Arabidopsis thaliana: one gene and its partners. The protein of the gene in region 3 binds, or shares a complex with, the protein of the main gene of each other region. Each region holds a gene or a part of one and is shown on either strand. Other genes may lie near its edges.

Region 1 (8,457 bases), about 17 Mb from region 3:
GAAGTCTCAACAAGCAAATTGAGGTGCTTAACCTGTTTAGAGTGGGCATCAGCAACACATTTGCTGCATTCTCCAACAATTCCAGCCTGTCTATTTAGCCCACTCACAGCTTCCCTAACCGATTCAGTAAGTATTGCAACCAATTCTTTCTTCTGCTTAACCAGTTCAGCCTCAAAGTATGACTTCAATTCATCGTTGTTTGATTGTTGAATCTTGAGAACACGTTTCTCAAACTCATCAGCTACCTCTTTGATGACTGCCTCTCTAAGACCATGTCCAGCAGAGCCACTATCATTGTTTTCCATCTCGCCAGCTCTTGGGACTTCCTGCTGCAACCCTTCTCCATCCGCAAAACTGACACCATCTTTATCTGTCACCGGTCCATCCTTATTCGCCTCACCATCCAATCCGTCTACACCTTCTCCGGCTGCACACTCTTCCCTCTCTTCTGCAGCAACACCAGAACCATCAACATCCATCTCATCGTCACCATCCCCCTTAGCCTGATTCACACAGTCATCAGCCATGAACTCATCTTCAGATGGATGTTCAACATCATTAGCATCAACACCACCACTCCAACTGTTATGCTCGAATGGGTGTTCCTCCATTATCAATGATAGCAGATGCGAAACTTCTTCATCATCCTCCTCATCTGAGAAAGATAAGTCGATCTCTTTCGCCAGGAGCTCTTCATTCAGCAGTGAGGTTACCCGGTCCTAAAAGTTAAGAGTCAATAGAATAGATAAGTCAAGTACACAATCTTTCTACACCAAATACAAAGAACAAGCTTTACAACAATAGAATTACCATGCCACTTTGGTCGATAGTTCGTGCATCATGCACATTGATGTTCAAACTCAGCCCCAATACATACTGAACCAGCTTCTCGACTGGAATGGTTGGGTCTAGAATGTTAAACACCGAGTCTGCCGTGTATATAATAGCTGGACAACATGCCACTGTCACAAGAACTAAGGCATGAGGAAACCCTTGTATAGCTGTGGTATCTTGTGCAAGCTCCTTGGCTGTTCTTTGCTTGGCGCTTCGAATAGTCGCGAGAAACGAAGTTCTACCCCAAGGATATTTAAGAAAGGATTCTACATCTTTTACCATCTCTACATGGTCAGGATCGATGATAGTTCGCGAACATGTCGGGCAAAGAATCCCATCAACTAGTAGCAGCAACGATAGGCGAAATCGAGTCAACGGGTCTTTGTATTTCTTCCCCATAGATAGCTTCCCAACAATCCATTGTGAAGTAGGCTTTCTCTCTTTCCCAAATAATGCCTTGTAGAACCTCGTAGGATTCTGAACCGCTTTCATTTTCCCTCTTGTCCTTGCATCCTTTTTGTTGAATCCAGATTTGCTGCAGTTAAGCCCGGTAACAAGTGCAAAATCATCAATGGCAAATCGAATTGGCTTCCCTGCAAACACCCACCACATTTCATACTTCTTATCTGTCACCAACTGCCTAGATAGAATGTAATGTAAGAACATTACAGAAAACTGATGCGTCCCCATTTGCAACAGAAATCCAAACTGCGAACCCTCCAGCTGCTTCAAATGGTTTTGATCTAGAGCAGCCTTGATGATCTCAATCCACCTAAGAGTAAAGTAATTGTTTATCCTCTTTCGGCCCTCAGGTTCAGAACCTAGCCGAAACAAACGCTTTGGCAACTCTACATCCCCCATGGAACAGATACACTGAAATACAAATGTCCACGTATCACTTTTTTGATGCTGCTACTTACACAAATACAAAATATATAAATCTTAGATGTAAATATATGTTATTAACAGACTCAACCAATATAGCCTCAGCTTTCCGTTACTATCAACAACAACAAATGGATTACATAGAAGTTGAGTTAAATATTAAACCTTCATAACACCAATTAGTGGAATATCGGATTAACCAGCAAAGATTCACTAACTAAAGCTACTCAAATCCGAGTTTATGCTATTCAATACTGCAAATAAAACTAAAAATGTCATTAACACATACAACCAATTTGAGTAGCTTCCGTTACTATCAACAAACACAAATGGATTACATTGAAGTAGAGTTAAATCCTAAACCTTCATAACAATTACAAATGAATATCGTATTAACCAAGCAGATTCCCTACCTAAAGCTACTCAAATCCGAGTTTATGCTATTCAAGCTCTTCAACACAAATTAAAAAGATTTTCCCAAAAGCCAAAAAATGGCATTTCATACCTTAATTTGGCTGAATCCCTTCGCCGACACCAATTGCCACAGAAATTCGAGTGTTACAGTGGAGACGACGGAGATATAAACACCTCTACTCCCGTACAACAAAACTCACTCAAGTACTCTCAACGGAATCAAAAACCCTCGATTGAGAAAAGAGCCAACATAAGTGTTGTACGAAACTCGGATGCTTAGATAGGCTCCTCCTCCAATTGCAGAAGATTTATGCAGTCCGATTGCCAGAAATCGAAGCCTCCACAGTCCCCAAATCGAAACCCACAAATTCAATCTTCGTAAACTCTAGAATCGTCACTCGGATTGCACACGCAGTCTGCTCTTCGAAACTTTCCCGGGTGTCGCTTTTTAAAGCCCAGAATTTTCAGATTTTCTTACTGTAACTTCTCTGAATGTTCACCTCTATTTGAATTTTTACAGAGTAATACATAGAAGTTATCGATTGAAAACTCAGAAGAAGAAGAATAAGCGCGTGTGCTCACGCACGGGTTAAGTTTGTCAATATTGCATAAAGTTCAATACATATTGGTTGAAGTGTTAGTTTTGCAATTATAATTTTTTTGTTGGCTATATTTGCAAATTTCCCATTTTTTTACATGTACAAACTAAAAAAAAAAAAATATTAAAGTGAACAAACTGTACATATGGGCTAAAAACTAAAAGTCCCACAAACATTGAGATTACAAAATACATTTTCAGTCCAACATGAGCCATAAAGCATTGCTTAATGGAGTAAAACTCAATTTAACAGAGTGGAATAAATTAAACAAAATAAGACGTGAAGGAGCAGAAGCAAGCATATCAACAAAAACGCCTTTGAAACGCAAACGCTACAAAATTGCGTCTGGCGTTACAGTAGATTGAGATTTGAACGTGAAATTCTCCGAGTCCAGAAACATTCCTCTCCTTCCGTCGTCGTCAAGAAGATCAATTTCATTGAAATCGAAAGAGTGTGCTTGAATCACAGCTTATGCAGACGCTACACCAGTCCCAACTTCTCCAGAATCCGGCCGAGGCGGCGAACAATCAGTCTGAATCGGACGCGCCGCCGAAACAGGTGGCTCAGGCCATGGAACGACTCAATCAAGCGGCTAGGGTTATCGCCGATATCCGCCTCGGCGCTGACCGTATCCTTGAAGCTATGTTCGTGGCTTCGCAACCTCGTCACACAGACATGCCTCTTCAGCTCTTTCTCAGAGAAGACGCCTCCATGCGTCAACATCTTCAGGATCTTCGCTTAATAGGTGCTGAACCAAAACTGAATCATTTTCATTAGTATTGATTGATTCTCTAGATTAGGGCTTTTAAGGATCGATCAATGTTTATTGCTTGGTTCAGGGAAGAAATTGGAAGAATCTGGAGTGTTAACTGAATCACTTAGGTCAAGAAGTAACTCTTGGGGTCTTCACATGCCTTTGGTTTGTCCAGATGGTGCAGTCGTTGCTTATGCTTGGAAAAGACAGCTTGCTGGCCAAGCTGGTGCTTCTGCTGTTGATAGAACCAGGTATCAGATTCGTTGCTAATCATTTTAAAGCATACTTAGGGTTTAGGTTCGAGTCTGCATATTAGGGCTGTTAGTGAAGCTTGGTGGTACCAACTTGGAGTTTCATCAGCTAACCAATTCTACTGAATCTCATGCATTCTCCATTTTCTCGCGTTGTGTATAATGACTGTAGGTTAGCTCTCAAGGCCTTCACGGATCAGAAAAGACGATTCTTCCCTCATATTGATGATGGATTAAAGATGGAACCAAGCTCAAAAAAACATCGTGCCTCCCATTTGCTATTAGAAAATGGAAGAGAGGAGCCGGTTGATTACAAAACATTGCCAGATATACAATCGCGTTTAGAGAAGCTGGTTCCGAGTGTGAAGGTGTCTACTTATGGACGATTGAACTGGCTTAAAAGAGCTAACTCTTTACCTGGGTCAGGTAGTGATGATCCTACAGAAGCATCGAAACCTATTTTCCAGAGTTCTAGCAAGCTGAGATCAGGGTTACAGACTGAAGTTGTCGACAAGATTGCTGTTATTGAGTTATCATTTCCTTCTCTATTCAGAGCTATAGTCTCGTTGAGTCCAGCGGGTTCTGTTGATCCAGATGCAGTTGCTTTCTTCTCCCCAGATGAGGTCACTTCCAACCTCCTTGCATTAAAATATACTGATTCTCATGTGAAATTGTTTAAGTTCTCATGTTTTAGCTTCATCCCTTTCTTACAGGGAGGCAGCTACTTACATGCGAGAGGCTTCTCGGTTTATCATGTTTACAAACACATAACGGTAATAAAGATGCGATTGATATTATATATAGTTTAACAAATTTGATTCATTGGGGACTTGCATTAATTAGATTTTTCTTGCAGGAACATGCTGCTACAGCCTTGCAATATTTCCTCGGCTTTGGTACTGGAACAGCTCTCTACTCTCTTCTGGTAAAGCATTTTACAAGCACACTTCAGTCTCTGGATAACATGAACCTTTTTTGTCTGGAAGTTAATTAACACCTTTCTCTTCTTCTTATGCAGCTATGGATATGCAGTTTTGAATCCGTATTTAGCAAACCTTGCACGTATGCAGACTCTCCGTAATTCTTCTAATACATTTGTTTCCCGTGGACTAACTTTTCATTTCTCTTCTGATGATGCAGTAAATGTGGAAGGCTATTAGCAATGGATAAAAAGTCTGCGTTAATCTTACCTCCTTTACACCGCGCTTACCAAGAATTGCCTCTTGCATTAAACCTGGACGTTTGTGAAGCTTACCACTCCAGTTGCTCTCAAGATGATACCTAGTACTCTAGTGATTAGGGAGGATCAATTAAAAGAAAGGTTAGAAATAAGTTCTAATAACATTTTGTATGGATCTTTAGTATCTGCTCTTCTCCTTGATATACCTCTTGTTTGTTGTTGATGTCCCATGTTGAGGTTTAGATTAACTTTCTTTCTTTCTACTCTCTGGTAACATGTGAATGTTGTCTTCTTTCTAGAGATTTGATCTTTGTTCACGAGATGACTGAACAGAGACCTTTTTTTTTAACTCGGTTCACATTACTCTGTTGCAGTCAGCATCAAAGTGAGAAAAAGACAGTGGGTGTTGATTTTTGCTTCCGATCCAGAAATATAAAACATGTTAAATGCAAGATCAATAAATTAAGTTATTTTGCAAGATCAAATAAGCTTACGGCTTCTTTCATAGAGATTGTACATGTGAAACCTGCAACTAACGAAGCAAATAAAAGAAAACACTAAATAAAGATAACACCAGAGGAAGTGGAAGAAGGTACTACATTTACACTACAACAAGACAACCTTCTTAAACCAAAGCCAAAGCCAAACAAACTTCTCATTACTTCTTGCCATCTTTAACTGCAACGACCACAATGCTCACTGCACATTCCTCTGGAACCACGGCCATTGACCGCCTAACACTGCAAATAGTCCAAAGATACATAGCTGACATTGCCCCTACGGCTCCACATACTGCAGCCAAGACCAGAGCACCAAGCATTCTCCATATACACTCACTATTTTCTCGGCCCTCTTCCATTTCCGTGGAAACGTCCGGCTTCAAACCTTCATTTGGTCCTAATGGCGCTGGTTGCACCCATATCGGATCAAGATGCCATATTTCAAAGCTCCATGAATGGAGAAAATGTGGCTTGGAAGAGTTCCCATTAGCAGAGCTTAAACCCACCATGACTTCACCACCTTTCCAAAGCTTCTCCAAGTCTACCGAGAAAGAGAAGAACGGATCAAACATCTTTATCGAACCACGTTTTCTGAAACGAACCCTCATTCTCTTAGAACTTGCCTCATAATCAATCATACAGCTCAAAATCCCTCCATCATCCATCATCAAGTCACCCACAAACGAAAGGTTTCTAATTTTGGCAGACTCAGGTCTACCAATTAAGACTCTTGCACGGTTTCCTCTCTTGGAGATATCAAACTCAAAAGCAACAACTGTCTCGTTCTTTGCATACTCTAATAGAAACCCTAAAGCAGAGGAACTGTAATCTTTCTTACCAAACAGACTAAGATCCAAAGTACTTGGAACCATTACAAAAGCCAAGACATCACCAATCTCATTGGGCATCGAAAACGAGAAGTAAGTCGAGAAAATAACGGAGTTCCTCTCTTTACCTTGGAATAGATTGATGGGTTTCTTGTAAAAGACTCGTCCCTCGGTCCGATTCACTGAGTCAGTCAGCTGAATCGAAGAACTGTCATTGACCAGCTTCGAATCTCCAAACAGAGCAACACTCTTGTCAAAACTCTGAGATTTTACGAATTCATCAAATGAAAACGTGAAATCCACACCTGCGGTTCCATGTATCTCAAAGCATAAAAGGACCAGAAAAGATAGGGTTTTGAATATCGCCATAGCTATACTGAGACTAAAATTGGTTCTCTCTGATTTAATGACTACAGAGACGAGCTCTTCTCTCTCTCTTACTCACTCACTCACTCTTCTCCTTCTAAAAATGGAATTTCTAGGATTTGAGAATGACTTCCATTTTTTCAAGAAGTATTTAAGTTTGTTGTTTTGTGTGGAACTATGCGAAGAAAGCAGAGGAAGAAGTTAAATATCATCAACACATGCAGAGAGATTGATTCGTTCTCAGTCCCACTCACTTTCTCCCTCGTAGTGGTTGCTGACTAAGGTTAATGCCGTTTCTGATTTGTATCTCAGTTTTATTACATTCTATCATGTTTAGCCTCATTTACTTTTAGAATATGACATTTGTGCCTACTTTCTAAGAAATAAAATGACTCAACTTGTAGATCTAAGAAGATTCTGCTTCATACAAATTTTATCAAAGTCATGTATAAGAAGCTCTTAACTTTCTCGACGGATAGATAAATTGCAAATTCATCGTCCAGACATTATTGAAAAATATTAAAGCAACCATAAGAAAACGAAATCTTTCCAAAAAATAAAAGACAGTAGTAACATAAAACTGGATTGGCTAAAACCAAGAAAATTGAGGTCCAACATACTAAAAACAAAGCAACACTTATAATCCACGACAAAAAGGTAAGATCTTAACCGACAAAATCTACTCTTCATCGAACAAACCGAAATCACCTCCATAGTCTTCTTCGTCGGACTCTTCCTTCTCCTCTACCTTAGCAGCAGCTGGGGCACCACCACCTGCATCAGCAGACACCGCAGCTACTGAAGCAACAGCAAACTTGCTTGGATCCTGCATTCCAGAGAGTTAACATAAACAAAATCAGTACTCCAAACTTCCGAAATAAAATGAAAAAGATGCACAGTTTTAATGCATACTAACCTTCAAGTATTCCTTGACCTTCTCTGCTTGAGGGAAGGTGTACTCAGTGGCAACAGCAATAGCCAAGGCATTCTTGTACGCATTGATGAACATATGCGGTGCAGCAGCAAGGGTAGGGTACGACACAGCAAGAGCCAAGGAAGTGACCATGGAGATACCAGAAGCAAACTTCTCCACAAGTTGGTCTTCAGTAAGATCAAGAACCTCTGGGCTGAAGACTGAGCCATTGTCATAGACAGACTGGACAACAAGACCATATGAGAACGGCCTGATGCCAAGCTTGGCTAGAAGCGCAGCCTCAGAAGACCCGACCTTGTCACCTTGCTTGATAAGCTCAACTGGGGTGATGATTTCGACGGTACCCTTGTTAATCTTGGTTGGGATGTTAAGCACCTAAAACAATCCAAAACACATACATGTTCAATTAACTTCAAATTGTCGTCAAACGAATCAAATCAAACATTAAATGTAAGTTTAAAACAAACCTGGAAGAAAGATGTTTGGGATGGGTCGAGACCAGTGTTGCCAGGTTGGACAACCACATCAATTGGAGCCACCAAACCCACACGAGCAGGGGCACCAACCTGATTCATAATAAGAAAAGTTCCATTACAATCGAATCACATTGAAAAAGTATCAACATTTTAACCCAATCATATTGCAAAAGCATCAACATATTACACAATCCAATCACGTTGAGAAAGCAACAACATTATACATAAGTCAATCGCATTGAGAAAGCATCAACTTTTTACACAATTGATGAGCTCTACTTGGGATGACTGTAATACTCATAGGAACACAGGCAATATAAACAGAAACGTAAGCAAGAAATGATTACACTATACATCAGATACCATCGAAAGCAACACAAGTAAATTCAGAACATGTATAAACTAATGTAAGCATGAAATGATTCCTCTATGCATCA
Region 2 (7,864 bases), on a different chromosome or scaffold from region 3:
ATCAGTCCAGAAGTCAGCAGTTGATGTGTCTACATATTTCACAAAGGGCAACAATACTCCTTCAGTCATTGGAATGGTTACAGATGTAACACACTAACAATGAAATATTCTTATTTCTAACAGTTTATCCTTATTTAAATTTGAAGGCAAATAGTGGGACTTTTTCTCTCTCAAGTACAAACAAGAAAAGAAAAAAAGGTGCCTCACATGCTCAACGAGCATGAAAGTTATGATAAAAATTAACACTTACAGCAGATCTGAAGTCAGGGTTTGACAAGTTTACTGTGAGGTTTCTCATCAACAATTATCTATGGCCACTTCTTCACTATCCGTTCCAGCAACCTAAGATCCTCGCCTTTGGGAGCATGGGGATCAAGATTCCTCAGATCTTCGACAAAAAGTTTTGCCTCATCTTTCCTGTTTAGCTTGCAGTATCCATCGACAATGGAGTTGTAGGTGTTCTGGTTTGGTCTACAACCATGCTTGATCATGTACCTAACGACGCCGATGGCCTCCTCAAACATTGAGTCAGCTGCATAAGAACCAATAAACGTATTGTAGGTGATAACATCAGGGACAATCCCTGAATTCCTCATCTCTGAAAATATTCTAGATGCATCTCTCATCCGAGTATTTCTACAATAGGCGTAAATGACTGTGTTGTACGATATGATGTCTGGCTTGATCCCCTTAGCCAGTATTTCCCTCAAGATTTCCTCTGATTTTCCGAAATCTGCAGACCGACTATGCATATACATGAGGCTATTGTAGGTCGCCATGCTTGGTGTGAAACCCCTTTCTTTCATGTAGTCCAAGACTCCGTTCGCCTTTGCCACCATCTGCCTTCTTCCATATATGGAGACCATGGAATTTAATGTGGTTATGTCTGGTGAAAACCCTCTTTCTTTGAGCTCAGAGAATGCACGTTCAGCCTCTGGCAAAAGATCACACTTACTACAAACCAAGACAAGGGTCTTCAAAAGCACAGCTCGAGGCTCGATAACTCCAGAATAAACCTCTTCTGCTAGAGAATGCATCAGACCAATCTCCTTGCCATTTGCATATGCATGAAGTAGAGAGCAGTAAGTTAATTCATTTGGTTTGCACCGACCATCCTCCATCTCTGCAAGAACTTTTTCAGATTGTTCCCACATTCCTCCACGGGCCAAAGCTGCCAACACAGTGTTATAGGTGGAAAGGTCAGGAGTGACCCCAGCATCAAGCATTCGTCTGTAAACAGTCATAGCTTGTTCAAACGAACCACAGCGGCTATACGCACTGATTAGGGTGTTGAAAGTTTCCCTTTCGGGTACGAACCCAGCTCTCTTCATTTCCTTGAATACACCCGATACTTCTGAATCCATCCCGTTTTGGCCAAAGACTGCTAATAGTGTATTCCAAGTGACAATGTCGGGGGAGAGACCACACACATTGATCTCGTCAAATATCTTCATCATTTCAGTAAACTTTCCCCTGTTACCATACATCTTTATAAAGGCATTAAAAGTACAAATATTTGGTTTGCACCCTGCATTTCTCATCTCTTCAAAAATACTCATAGCAGATTCGACCTTCCCAGCCCTCTCAAACCCTGACAAAAGTGTTGTATAAGTAAAAACATCAGGTTTCGTTCCCTTTTCCGCCATCTGATTTTTAAGCTCCATTGCCTCATCCAGCATACCATCCCTCGCATATGCAGAGATCAAGGAGTTGTAAGTCACAATGCTCGGAGAAAATCCATTGAGCACCATTTCATTCAAAACCTTCATAGCTTCCTTAGGCCGATGAGACTTTCCATAAACATCTAATAACGCATTATAAGTAACCTTATCATAACTAAACCCAGCAGCCTTCATTTCTTCAAAAACCTGAGCAGCTTCCTGATGCAAAGAGCCTCGTTTACAACAAGTTATAAGAGTGTTGTAAGTATACGCATCCGGAGCAATCCCATCACTCTTCATCTTCTCAACAAGAGACGTAATCTTATTCCAAGGAGTACCCATTTTCCCAAACACATTCAAGATAACATTATACGTTATCAAAGTCGGTTTACAACCATCTTCCTCCATCTTCTTGAACACATTTACAGCTTCCCTATACCTTCCGCTATTAGCAAACGCTGATATCAACGAAGTATAAGAGTAGACATCAAGCGAAAACCCGTCTTCCTGCAAACCATTGAACATATTTGCAGCGGAAGATACTCTGCCTTCTTTACCTAGCATACTGATGATTATAGCAACAACAGAGTTATCCAACATGGATTGATAATCCTTTTGCTTCATAAACCAATCAAAAGCACGCAGAGCCAAATCGAATTTCTTATGAAATCCTAATCCTTTAAGAAAAGCTAGTAACTCCGACGAGGTAGACTCTGGTTTATCCTTAAAAGGCTCGAATAGCTCAGAGAGTACAGAATCTAATTGACCGGAATCAAAATTGGGTTCGATGAGGGAACGAAGAACTTGCTGACCTTGTGGAGAAAGACCATGGTAAGACCAAGGTTTACCGAGGTTAGGGTCACGTGACTTGCCAATTCGAGTCCGGTTACGGTTTCTAGATGTTTGAGAGCTGATGGGTTGTCTGGAATTAGGGTTCTGGTGAAGGAAAACATCGTGGAGGAGAGGCTCTACAGGCGGAGGAGGTGGTGACGAAAGAGACGTAGTAAGAAAAGGCGTCCGAGAGATATGGTGGTTTTGGTCGTGAGAATAAGGTTTAGAGGAAGGAGTGCAGGGAAGGAGAAGAGGAAGAGCTAGCTTGTCCGCCATTAGAGGTAGTAGTAGTAGTAGAAACTAGAAAAGAACCAGGAGGCAACCGAGAGTGAAAGAAGAAGAGAAATGAATGGATATTTTTGTCAGATTTTTTTTATTATATTTTTTTGTTCCAAGAACACAATTTTAGTTTTATTTCCCTACAATTATATTCGACCACGTGGCTAGTCCAGATTCAACAGGTTAGATCTAAATGGGCTACTACTTATTTTGTCAACCCATTATATTATTAGAAGCCCAAATGGAACAATAAACTGTACAATAAAGAAATGGGCAGAAAGAGCCTCTGATATGTATGTATGACCTAAGAGGGATTTTACTTTGTCGTATAGAGAGATCGATCCAAAATGTCAAGTTGCATAACTCCAATAGTTGAACATTCTGAATTTTACTAATAATTTGAAATTTGAAGCTAAAGAATGATTCTGGAAAAAAGATAACCAATAATTCTGTAAACTGAATTAGAATCCAGGGTTTTCGTAAGAAACAACTTTGATACATCAAAGATACTGATAACGATGAAGCATATACTAACATCTATCCACATAAAGGCACTGCTAAACAAAACGAAACCAAGTAGAAAATCAAACTTGATCAAGAATTAGCAGTAACATTGGTCAAATCATTACCTTACAGAGAACCATCAATCACAATGTTGATTAATCCTCATCATCTGAGCTTGCATCATCGCTGCTGTAATCACTGCTATCATCATCCTCCAAAATGTCAAGTTGAACAGCTCGGACCTGTATGACATCAGGCGGTCTGTGGAGTCCCTGAGAAGGTCTCATATGTTGATGATCCTCTGCTCTAGGTGCAGCAATTGACTCCAGTGGCGGTAACACAACTGGGTCGCCTGGTTTCCATCCAGGAGGTGGCAATGGTAAATCTCTAGGCAATTCGACTGGCATTCCTGGTTTCCATCCTGAAGGAACTGCGATATTCGGCGGAAGCAGGTTGTGAATAGCAGATATATCCATAGCTTCTGGTGGTGGTGGTGGCTCAATCAGTGCTTCAACCTTCTTCTCCATGTTTTCTACTGTTTTCGGCAGACCGATATCAAGATCAGCGAAAGTGTAGAGCTGGGAAGCTCTCATTTGTTCGTCTTGTGGAGCTGGTGGTAATGCACCACGGAGAGGTGCTTGCCCTGCACCGAATTCCGGCGGAGCAAATGTGGTGTAGCTAATCTTGTGAGCGTAAGCTAATATGTCCTTTAACTTGAGCTGAGACGAAACTGTGGTTGAAGAAGAAGAAGACTCATTATCATTGTCTTCGTCATCTTCTTCAATTTTGCTTCGTTTTGGTTTGCGGTAATCGGAGTAGTCGTCAACAAGCATATCGAGAACACGTTCTGCATCCTTGAGTTTGTTAGCGAAAGCGAGAAGAGATGAATCTTTGGATTTGATCTCACGCGCCACCTTCTGCTTCGCGTCTTGCAGATCGAGGATCTCTTGAAGCTCTGTAACGGCTTCGAAGAGCTGAGTCTGGAGGGAATTGAATTGAGAGAGGATCTCCTTCGTGGATGAAGGACTAGGGTTTTCAAGCGGCGGCGGAGGTGGTAACGAGTGTGAGGAGAGGAACGAAGGGAGAGAGCCACGGAAAGCTGAGAGCCAGATAGCTCGATTGGGAGAGACGTCGAAGAGCTTAGATGTCAAAACCGCCATCTGCTGGAGAAGAGCTTGAGCTCGCGGTAATGGAGGAAGGAGCGATAGCAAGGCGGAGGATGAAACAGCCGCCGAAGCTGAGGCTGAGGAAGCGGCGGCGACGGTGGAGGAAGGAAGTAGATTAGGCTGTTGTTGGATCTGTTGGTGCTGAGATTGGGAAGATGAAGAAGAGGTTGGATGGCCATGACGAGTAGGCGTCGGATTTTGTACGGAAGGAGAGCCAGGACCTGTTAACCCTAATCTCGCCGGAGATTGTACGATCTGATGCTGTAGCATCTTCGCCGACGGCGAAAGAATCTCTTAAATCGAAGATAATTAAAGAGACGAAGCTTCTCTTCTCTGTTTAGTGTTCAACTGTTTATACAAAATTCGCAAACCCTCAGTATCAATTAGAAAAGTCTAAAGACCCGCTAAAACCATACCGATACGGTTCAATTTCCTAATTACCATTAACCTGGCTTTCGAACAATTGTTATTGACAATAACAGAGACGAATCATGGACGTTAACGCTTGATACAAGTGCAATACAACAGAGTTATGTATCTCACTTCCGAGTTAAGTAACAATTTGCTACTGTGTTACATAGCTTTTGGTTAAACAGATAACCAGAAAATAACCAATCAGAGAACGAGGTAAAGAAACTTACATATTACAAAAGGCATGAAAAAATAATTATCAAAAAGAAGATACAATTGGTAACCATTTTCTACACACACATACATATATCTACCATTCACACGACTGGTTCTGACCGAAACTGCATATGTTCCTCTTGTTTGTGACGACGACTCAGTTATGTTCTCCTCAGACAACAACCGTAGAATGCATCTGACACAATCCACCATATACAGAGATCAATAGCAATTTGGTAGACCGTAAGAGCAATATTCTTAAGACCTTAAGGGTAGTGTAATCAGAATAATAGCAGCAACGCTGAGAATATAACAGTTATGATCTACAGATCATTCTTATTATGACGTTCGATCATGTGAGACAATAACTACAGTAACAAATGAGAAACATTAAGGTGAAAACCTTAGTGAACTGTGGTGTTAGGTTTCGATATAATCTATTAAGTCAATGCGAACGTTCTTATTATAGTGTTTTATATTGGTGTCGGAGGGATGCGGTATAACACCAAACTTACTTGATAGCTGGTAGAGAGTTGTTGCGAGCAAGAAGTCGTCAAGAAGATATATAACTTGTTGAGTGCACAAACAGCTAAGAGCTTAAGTGTTCATGACCTTCCTCTGCAGCATCAACATATTCAGACTAAATTATGGTTAGATTATATCTCATAGAGCACAACAATCCTCATTTAATCATTGGAACGGTTAAAAACATAACACACTAAAGGCGAACTAGTCTTAATTTCTATAGTTAAACTTCAAGGCAGATAGTAAGTAGGTTTGTTAGCTGTTAGAGACTTTTTCTCACTCATTCTTATCACGAAAAGACAAATGTGCCTCACATACTCAACGAGCACAGAAGTAATGATAAAATTATAACTTACAGTAGGTTCAAAGTCAGGGTTTGACAAGTTCACTGTGAGGTTTCTCATCAACAGCAAAACCTGCAAGAAAAACTGTGATTAGTGACGGATACTAGGAAAAAGAACAATCACTGACAGCTACAAATAGGTACCATGACACCTAAAACTGACTCATGGTTGTAACAATCCCATTATTTGACCAACATCTCCATAGAATCATGGTACTTTGGCTTTTTGGTGTTTCCAACTCGTGAATCTATATATTGCAAGTACTGATCTTTATATTTATCTTCTCACACAGCTGAATTTATTCGGGAACTCAAAGAAGAAGACTAAATGATTGATATGCTGCAACACACATATCAGTTAATCTAAAGGCAAGTAAAGCTCCAACTCACAGTTTCGAAATTTATAGGATCCATTTCCTTGAGCTTTTTCATGCGGCCTTTGCTGTCAGGATCGAACACACTCCCAATGAAGTTATAAACCTCAGCAAAATCAGGAAGACCTGCAAAGCAACCATTACAACAGCGTCCACCACAAAATGAAAACTAAGAAATAGTCCCTCAATTGTTCAGATAATTACCATGCATTGAGGGAGCTTGTTTCGCCAGTCTCAAACCCTTAGAATCTGATAGTGTTCTGCTTGAGCTTCCGATACCAGATGCTGAAGGACTAGTTTCACTTATCATGTCATTTGATCCAACATCAACTGAAACAATGATATGTAAGCCGCATTTAGCATATGAAAACTTCAGAAGATAGAGTGACTAGACTACCAAAGCAAAATATAAAAACTGAGTACAGATGAGAACGCATGCCTTCTGCTCCACAAAGAGTATCAAGTTCATCTTCTGGTGGAATAACCCCACTTACAGCAATGTTTAACAATGCAGATGTATCATCATCCCATGGAGTATATCCAGGCAGGTTATTTATTTGAGTAGGAAAGGACATGGAAACGTGAAGCGACATTTGAGCTGCAGATTTGAGTTGAAATCAGATTGATTACATGTTACTCCATCTGTCAACCCAAAGTAATATCTATTACAATAGAACTAACCATTTTTCGATGCCTTTTGAGGATATGGATGAGCAGCTTTGCGCTTAGGCCTAGGGGGTGGAACATGTGCTAAAGTCCCATTTTTTTGGACCTTTAGAAAGTATTTTTGGGCATGGCTCCTGATCTGCAGTAAATCAAACAGGCACAGGATGATTGAGTGGGGAAATGTGCCAAGGTTGTATATTAAACCAAAAATCCAAAGAAGCTGATCTCAAACCTGAATAACTGTCTTTGAACCAACAAAATCTTCTATCTTTTTCCAGTCACGATCAAACCTAAGGACACGAGAAAATTGTCAGGACAAAGTAAGATTCTTTTTTCTAAAAGAGAGAGAAGCCTTTCACACACACAAAAGAGCAATGTAATATGTGGAAGTAACGAACCATTACCAAAATCTGAATTGTAGTTTAGGACTGTAGTTGGAAATTGGTTTCATGCATAGCTCTAAAAGCTGACTTGTAGTAAGTTTTTTCAGTTCTCATGTTAAACATTTTTAATAAAGAAAGATACGACTTCTGCAAAATACCACTATTTATGCAGAAACCAGATGCCAAGTCCTCTACTCAATCATTTTGGCAACCTAAGATAAGCTTAAACCATACTTCGGTTTTATGAGAAGAAACATTCATCAGCGATTAATATAAATTCTGATCTATCGAATATACAATCCAACCTAACAAATCAAAGAAGACATTGTTGCTTCTGCAAAATCCAATTGCATACGCAAAACTCCAGATGATCTACCACATAACCAAACTTCGATCTGATTAAGCAAATTAAGTAGAAATTACGCGAAATTACGCAAAATTCAGCTATAAATTAGAGCTCGAAACACAAAGAATCAGTCAATCAAATAGCTGGTGGAAGAAAAAA
Region 3 (7,243 bases):
ACAGAGTGATGAATGATACCGGTAAGCCGTGGGTCTGGTGGGACTATGTGACTGACTTTGCTATCCGGTGTCCAATGAAGGAGAAGAAGTACACCAAGGAATGCGCAGATGGAATTATTAAGTCCCTTGGTGAGTATAATGCTTCATTACTTCGATGGTATTTGCTCCTGTGGTATCATTTAATTAACATATTACCTGTGGCTAGAAATTAGTCTAGAAACTGAATAGTATTTTCAGATATCAGCTCATCCATAATATAGAACAACCAATTGATTGATTTAAATGAGCTTACCTTGTATGGCCTTCTTGAATCCTTATATTCACCAAGTGGATATTTTGTTACTTTCAAATTTGTGCATTTCATCCTAAATTTTCTGACTATCAGCTATATATGCATTCAGGCATTGATCTCAAAAAGGTGGACAAGTGTATCGGAGACCCTGAAGCAGATGTGGAGAACCCAGTTCTTAAAGCAGAGCAGGAGTCACAGGTTTGCCTTTTTGTAACTAATTGGCTCTTACACGTCTTCCCAAGATCTTGTTGGTTTTAAGTTGCCATATATTCTCCATTCCTCGAGGTGTTCTTAAAATGAGTCTACTTCAATTTCAGATAGGCAAAGGTTCCCGTGGAGACGTGACTATACTCCCAACTCTTGTCGTGAACAACAGACAATACAGAGGTATTGGGGAAATGTTGACTTGTCAGTTTTTCCTCCCTTTCTACAGCATCTTTCTTATGTTTTTGCTAATTGAATTATCTTTCATGCTTTTAGGTAAATTGGAAAAGGGGGCAGTGCTTAAGGCTATGTGTTCGGGTTTTCAAGAGTCAACGGAACCAGCTATCTGTCTTACTGAAGGTACTATTATCCACGACATTTGCAACTCTATTTTTTTTAACAGAAACCACAGTTCTCTTGATAGGCCAATATATATTTTCAAAACTTGCATTAGAGCTATCCTTAATTCTTTATCTATTGTTTTATATCATGGGAGAGAAGGATAGTTTTCAGACATGCTTCTGATTTTTGCAGATTTGGAAACTAATGAATGTTTGGAAAACAACGGTGGATGCTGGCAAGACAAAGCTGCCAACATTACTGCATGCAGGGTATCATTTGGGCATGCTATTCTTTTCATTTTCTAACTTTTGGTTTTGTTGTTGCTACTATGACTGATTACTCTTATTTGGTATGAATCGGCATTTTAGGATACTTTTAGGGGAAGATTGTGTGAGTGCCCTACTGTTCAAGGTGTTAAATTCGTTGGTGACGGTTACACTCACTGCAAAGGTAAATTATTTTTTATTTGTGTAGCTTAACATGTTTTGTGTGGAACAAGATACAGAACAATGCCATACCCTCTGCTTAGCTTCTGTATTCCACAAGTATTTGTTACTGGTAGTCAAACAATACTCTGATTTGTCCCTTGTCGATATTTTCTTGGAATCAACTTAGATGGTCTATTTGTTGATTTGTACCACCTGCGAGTATAATATCAAGATTGATAAATAAAATTGTCACAATCATTGATTAAATTTTACTTTGAAAAAGTTTACACTTGAAGAAATTCGTTGATGTGACTGAGTGGAAACATTCTAATGTTTTTTATGCAGTTCTACTGAATTTTCCCCTTTGCGTATATCATAAGTTGTCTTACTATAATCTTTGTTAATGTGCATTTTCTGTATCCATATGTTATTTCACTTGGCAGCCTCTGGAGCTTTGCATTGTGGTATCAACAATGGAGGATGCTGGAGAGAATCCCGAGGTGGCTTCACTTACTCTGCTTGCGTAGTAAGTATTTCGCTTCTATGTCAATGTGTTTGAACAATCATCTTCTTAACCTAAAATAAAACTTCTTTCGTTCTTGAAATGGATTTTTCAGGATGATCATTCAAAGGATTGCAAATGCCCACTTGGGTTCAAGGGCGATGGAGTGAAGAACTGTGAAGGTACTTGCTAAGTATTATTTACAAAATATATGCATGTGGTCTACTTGCATATATAAAGAGCTCTATGTCGATTTATTTAGTAGGCATCACTAGTAACATGCTATTAGCCTATTGTTTATATGCATGCATGTCGGTCTAGAATATTTAGTGCAGATACACAATTATCAGTGGAATTTTTTATTGTACTCAATCAAAGAAGTGAGATCATTGTTAAACGTCAAATTCAAATTCATAATCATATTCTTTTGATTGAATGTGTTAGATGTGGACGAGTGCAAAGAAAAAACGGTGTGCCAGTGCCCAGAGTGTAAATGTAAAAACACTTGGGGAAGTTATGAATGCAGCTGCAGCAACGGTTTGCTTTACATGCGTGAGCACGACACTTGCATAGGTAAAAGAAATAGATCTTCCTTCCTCCTAGCCCCATACTTAATTTGGAGTCATTAATCAGACTTTCTGCTTTTGAATCTGGTGAATGTGTAGGTTCAGGCAAAGTTGGAACCACAAAACTCAGCTGGAGCTTTTTGTGGATCCTTATAATCGGGGTGGGTGTTGCAGGTCTTTCTGGATATGCAGTCTACAAATACAGAATCAGGGTATACGATGTTCTTTACTCTGGTCTTGTTATCATATTAAAACATAGGAAGATTTTGCGGTCTAGATAGAGATGCTAAGTAACAATTGAAATTATGCAGAGTTACATGGATGCGGAAATTAGAGGGATCATGGCACAGTACATGCCATTGGAAAGTCAACCACCCAACACAAGTGGTCACCATATGGATATATGAGTGAAGTTATCAACACAAGCCAAGAGACTCTCTCTCTTTCTATGAGTAGCTTTAAGTTTCCATGTAAATGAATCAATGGACTTGATACAACTCTAGAGAAAAGAAAAAAGCCACAAACAGAAATAAGTGTACCTGCACTATTTGTAAGAAATGTGGATTTGCAGATGGAATCTCCTTTTTGTCTGCATATTACTCTTACAATGTAAAATAGACATAACTGGATGAATAATGAGTGTTACATTATTTACTGTTGAAACTAACTTAAGATCCATAAGAAGAAAAACAATAAACTTTGATTGAGAGATTGTTAAACTTTCTCCAGCTCATCTCTGTGTTTCTCAATCTGTTCTTTCACAAGCTTCTGCGACTCTTGGAAAAGCCTCATGTGCTTCTTTATAAGCTCATCTTTTGTCTTAAGCTCTTCCTCCATTACTGCAATATCCTGTTAAGAACAGAACAGAAGAGAGCAGAAACTGGTAAGACAATATGTGTTTGGAGTTTTCACATTGGTAAATCAAACCACACCTTCTTAAGGCTTTCAGCTCTCGAGGGCGCGCGATCTTCTCGCTTTAGTCCCATGAAGTAAAGCTGAAGCTTTTTCGCAGCTTCCATGAAATCTCTGGCGTGCCGCTCCACATCAACTGCAGCAGTTCAATGAGGGGAATTAAGCTAGAACATCGAATATGGAATCAAAGCTTCGGTTTCAACTGAATTCTAAGCACAAAATTCACTGAGATCATAAGTTAAGCACAAAAACAAACACAACTTCCAAACTATCATTCAAACTAAAACCCTAGAATGGTGAAATTGGAGAGTAGAAAAGGGACTGACTTTGATGAGAAGGGTGAGGAGAGCGATCGATGGCCTGAAGCTCTCTCGCCGGCAAACATGGTAACAGAGCAGCTTCCAAGGCTGTGACGCAAGCCATAATGTCCTCTATGTCATTATTCTGATTGTTCGAGGGGGTCTCCGGTGATCTGATTCCCGGTGGACGGTCAGGCGGTGACGGCGAAGGGTCAGAAGACTGCGGCGGCTTTTGCTGATAATCCATTCACGCCGATCTCGATCTCTCTTTCTCTCTGCTTGTTTGTTTGCCCATAAGGTTTAGTGAAAAATATTATAATGGGGGCCCATTTACTGGATTTAATTTGGGCTTATTGGGCCTTTTCCACATTCTTAATTGTTCTTAAGAATATCATTTTGATGTAATTAATTGAAAACACTGAAAATTCATTTTTAATAAATATATGAAGTAAATCATTTATTTCATATGAAAAAACAATAGTAAGGAGAAGGAACAACATTTTCTGATACTTTACTCTTGATTTGATGTCACAAGATATAACAGATGATGGCTTTTGTAACAAATTTTGATTCCTTATGTAACTTTTTATCTCCATCAAATTAGATAAGTTACATCCTTACTTAAAGATTTTTTAGCTATGGATTTTCTAATGAAATTTGTAAAATGAGTAAGCGATTGACTAAATACTGTAACCATTCTCTTCATTATCAGTGAAAATAGCTTTTAACACATCTCTCATTCTCTTCCTTCTGATTCACAATCATCCATGTGAAAAGATGACAACAAAAACCTTAGATAGAGAACTCACACATTAGTTACAGAAGAAAGATTCTCATTTACTACTACATAAGGAAGTACGGAACATATGATCAGACATCAAGCTTCCCGGTCGGAGAAAGTCTGCTACTCCGGTATTTAGGAGACAAGTTAACAAACTCCAAAGCCTGTGTTCTGAGCTGAACCGGATAATCAGCTGCACAACCGATTCTTGGACCAACTCCTGTCGACCATTTCAGTGACAACTGATGTCCCAATTGTAATGATCTTGACTGTTTCTTTGAGTTTATCCTTAGTAGCATAGATTTCTGCGGCACGTTAGCTTTTGGACTCCCAAGTCCACCTGAGAGTGTTCTCTGGTAGCTACTCCGTTTTGCCTCCTCAAGTGTTCCCACTGTTCCGTTACCGTTCTCATCTGTTTCAGTCTCTGCTTGGAATGTTGTGTCCTCTTTCTTTAACGGTTCCGGTTCAGATCCTCCGTTGGATTTAACATAATCATCGTAGCTGTCAGAATCTTCACTAGCTTTATGCACCTACACATACATAGATATATTAGCTCTCAAGTAGTCTCTTTTTCTAAACAACCAAACTCTAGTTAATGATATCATTCACCAGCCAAGATTAGAACAAGGGCATTACCTCAACATTGTCTAGGTTCACTGCGTTCTCTCTGAGAAACCCGAGAAATGTGTCGAGACTATCGTCTGACGGCCTGTAATGTCCGCTATATGCAGAGATTGTCTGAGATTAAACCGAAAACAGAACGATCAAACAGAGAAATCACAGAAGGCAGACATAATAAAAAAGTTGATATGAATGAACATGTATCTCAACCACTCTAAGAAAAGGACGTGGCCTTAGTAAGTTACCTTGAGAACTCCATTGTCAACAATCACCCTCCCAGCAGCTAATGTAGCTCCTCCAGCCAAAAAGCTTGAGTGATGGAACCTTCCTTTCTTTTTCTGAAGTAAACATAAACAAAGAAAAGAACCATTAGAATCTTTTTCAATACTAATATCAATTCATCACCAATAGAAAGATATAACGGTTTTAACTTACCAGACCGGCATAGAGTTTCTTGAAAGTACTCATAACAAAGATCCATTTTGTTCCTTCCGATCCATGCATTGTGTGTAAGAACTTTCCAGTTAACTTGTGAACAATCTTCCCTTCTATGATCACATACTCATACTCTTCCCTCTCTTGCTGATACCAGAAAAGGCTTATATGAGAGAAATCCCAAAAACAAGTAAAACCAATATTGACATAAGAGAGGAAAAAATGGCACATACAGGTCCAAGATATCTAATGCATTGCTGCTTAAGCTTTGACCTCGGACATTCGTTAAGATCCAAATCTATCCCTCCTCCAACATCCAACCTGCCAAAAAAAAAAAACCCGGATATATCACAAAGTTATAGATAAGAATTATCACCTAAAAAAGATTCTTGAGCTACAAGAAAACACTAACTAAATGAACCTAAGATTTTAAGCATACCAGTAAAAGAATGGCTGACCAGCATCAGCTTTACACCATTCTTCATAGTATTTATGCAGGTTGTGTCCATACCGGTGTCTAGGATCAATCTGATTTTCAAATTTTCATATTATTAGTCTTCTTTTTACATTTAATCAGAATATAACACAAACAAATATTGAAATTTGTGGAAGAAAGGAATTACAGCTTCAATCCAATGCTGAAAGGCCAATTTCTGAGCTTTGTCGACTATAGACAGACCCTTCCCCACCTAAACCCATAACCAAACCACAAGATTACAAAACCAATAACCAAGTGGAGATCTTTTTCTTACAATAATATATATTTTGAGATATTTACATATACTTTTTTCTGAATTTTAATCAAAAGAAGACTCATTAGGGAAAATAAATAAATCACAAAGTTCAACTAGAAATTTTGTGAAAATATGTTTTTGATATTTTTGTGAAAAAAAGGCATACCTTAGAAGCATTCAAGCTAACACGGTTCCATCTAGAAACAGCAGTTTCAGGTCTCGAGTAATCGAAAAACGAAATCGTACTATGATTAAGCCTCGCATAATCCATCGCTTGCCACCTTTTGTTTTTTACCATCATTAATTTAACACGTTAATGACTCTAAAACATAATCTCTCCATTTAAATATCTAATTACAGTGTTTTAGTTGAAAAGGTTATAAATAATTACCAGAGCTCTTCGGCGACAACGACAGAGTCTGCTAATCTACGCCGCGTACGATAACTCCTGTAGACCTTCTGTACTTTCACCGCCGCCAATCTAGTCGAGTCATCACACGCGCCTTCAAGCGCGTCACCGTGTGAGGATAACTCTCGGTGGTCTACCGGAGAAATGAGAATCTCTCCGGCGCCGTGTGAGAACGGCGAAGACTGAAAATCGAAGCTCGAGACTACCTGCATCTTCTCCGACCAAAGAGAGGACTTGAATCTTAGTGTCTGAAGAAGAAACTAAACTCAGAGAAAATGGAGGATTTGTGAGTATTGAGAGAGAAGAAGAAGAAGAAGATCCAAAAGTGTTTGTTCTGCTATCAGTGTTGTGTCATCTCTGTATGTATTTTTTATATATAGAAAATAAATGGCCCATTTCTTTATATATCCGAATTACTTCTTTATTTTCTAATTTTGTTTCTTTTTCTCATTTTGACAAAGTTCTTTTTTAATTCTGTTTTCCTAAATAGACAGGTAAGATTGCGATTTTATTTTTGATTGTGATTATTGGAGTATAGTATTAATATACATGTCACTGATTTATTCTGCTAATAAATCTTGCAGGTTAGGTACTTAGCTGTTTAAAAAACATATTTTAAAATATATACTTCATTGATTCAATTTAGCTGATATAAAGAAAATCAACGTAGGTTAAGTGCCTAATGTAAGTGGTGGAGGCATTTGGATCAAGCATTTTA

What was found.
Region 1: AT3G52860 (region 3) and AT3G09180 share a complex: the UniProt entries of both Arabidopsis thaliana proteins name them as parts of the mediator complex.
Region 2: AT3G52860 (region 3) and AT5G02850 share a complex: the UniProt entries of both Arabidopsis thaliana proteins name them as parts of the mediator complex.

Annotation. Positions count from the first base shown.
Region 1 is NC_003074.8:2,816,075-2,824,531, forward strand, and holds AT3G09180 (mediator of RNA polymerase II transcription subunit), read left to right. Parts: upstream 1-3,019; 5' UTR 3,020-3,203; coding exon 3,204-3,477; intron 3,478-3,571; coding exon 3,572-3,737; intron 3,738-3,909; coding exon 3,910-4,360; intron 4,361-4,450; coding exon 4,451-4,510; intron 4,511-4,593; coding exon 4,594-4,662; intron 4,663-4,755; coding exon 4,756-4,799; coding exon of another isoform or gene 4,800-4,818; exon of another isoform or gene 4,819-4,877; coding exon 4,878-5,022; 3' UTR 5,023-5,351; downstream 5,352-8,457. Other genes in the region: AT3G09190 (Concanavalin A-like lectin family protein), read right to left, coding at 5,576-6,613; AT3G09200 (Ribosomal protein L10 family protein), read right to left, coding at 7,290-7,436, 7,527-7,919, 8,012-8,110. UniProt on the Arabidopsis thaliana protein: Component of the Mediator complex, a coactivator involved in the regulated transcription of nearly all RNA polymerase II-dependent genes.
Region 2 is NC_003076.8:649,006-656,869, reverse strand, and holds AT5G02850 (hydroxyproline-rich glycoprotein family protein), read right to left. Parts: upstream 4,823-7,864; 5' UTR 4,712-4,822; coding exon 3,431-4,711; 3' UTR 3,107-3,430; downstream 1-3,106. Other genes in the region: AT5G02860 (Pentatricopeptide repeat (PPR) superfamily protein), read right to left, coding at 309-2,768; LCL1 (LHY/CCA1-like 1), read right to left, coding at 5,658-5,708, 5,950-6,009, 6,327-6,436, 6,515-6,640, 6,750-6,908, 6,992-7,115, 7,209-7,266. UniProt on the Arabidopsis thaliana protein: Component of the Mediator complex, a coactivator involved in the regulated transcription of nearly all RNA polymerase II-dependent genes.
Region 3 is NC_003074.8:19,588,950-19,596,192, forward strand, and holds AT3G52860 (mediator of RNA polymerase II transcription subunit-like protein), read right to left. Parts: upstream 3,820-7,243; 5' UTR 3,793-3,819; coding exon 3,573-3,792; exon of another isoform or gene 3,383-3,572; coding exon 3,267-3,382; intron 3,184-3,266; coding exon 3,049-3,183; 3' UTR 2,899-3,048; downstream 1-2,898. Other genes in the region: VSR1 (vacuolar sorting receptor homolog 1), read left to right, coding at 1-129, 402-490, 610-679, 773-856, 1,031-1,107, 1,207-1,288, 1,710-1,792, 1,884-1,950 and 3 more; AT3G52870 (IQ calmodulin-binding motif family protein), read right to left, coding at 4,416-4,856, 4,963-5,064, 5,193-5,285, 5,383-5,529, 5,616-5,703, 5,822-5,910, 6,006-6,071, 6,283-6,397 and 1 more. UniProt on the Arabidopsis thaliana protein: Component of the Mediator complex, a coactivator involved in the regulated transcription of nearly all RNA polymerase II-dependent genes.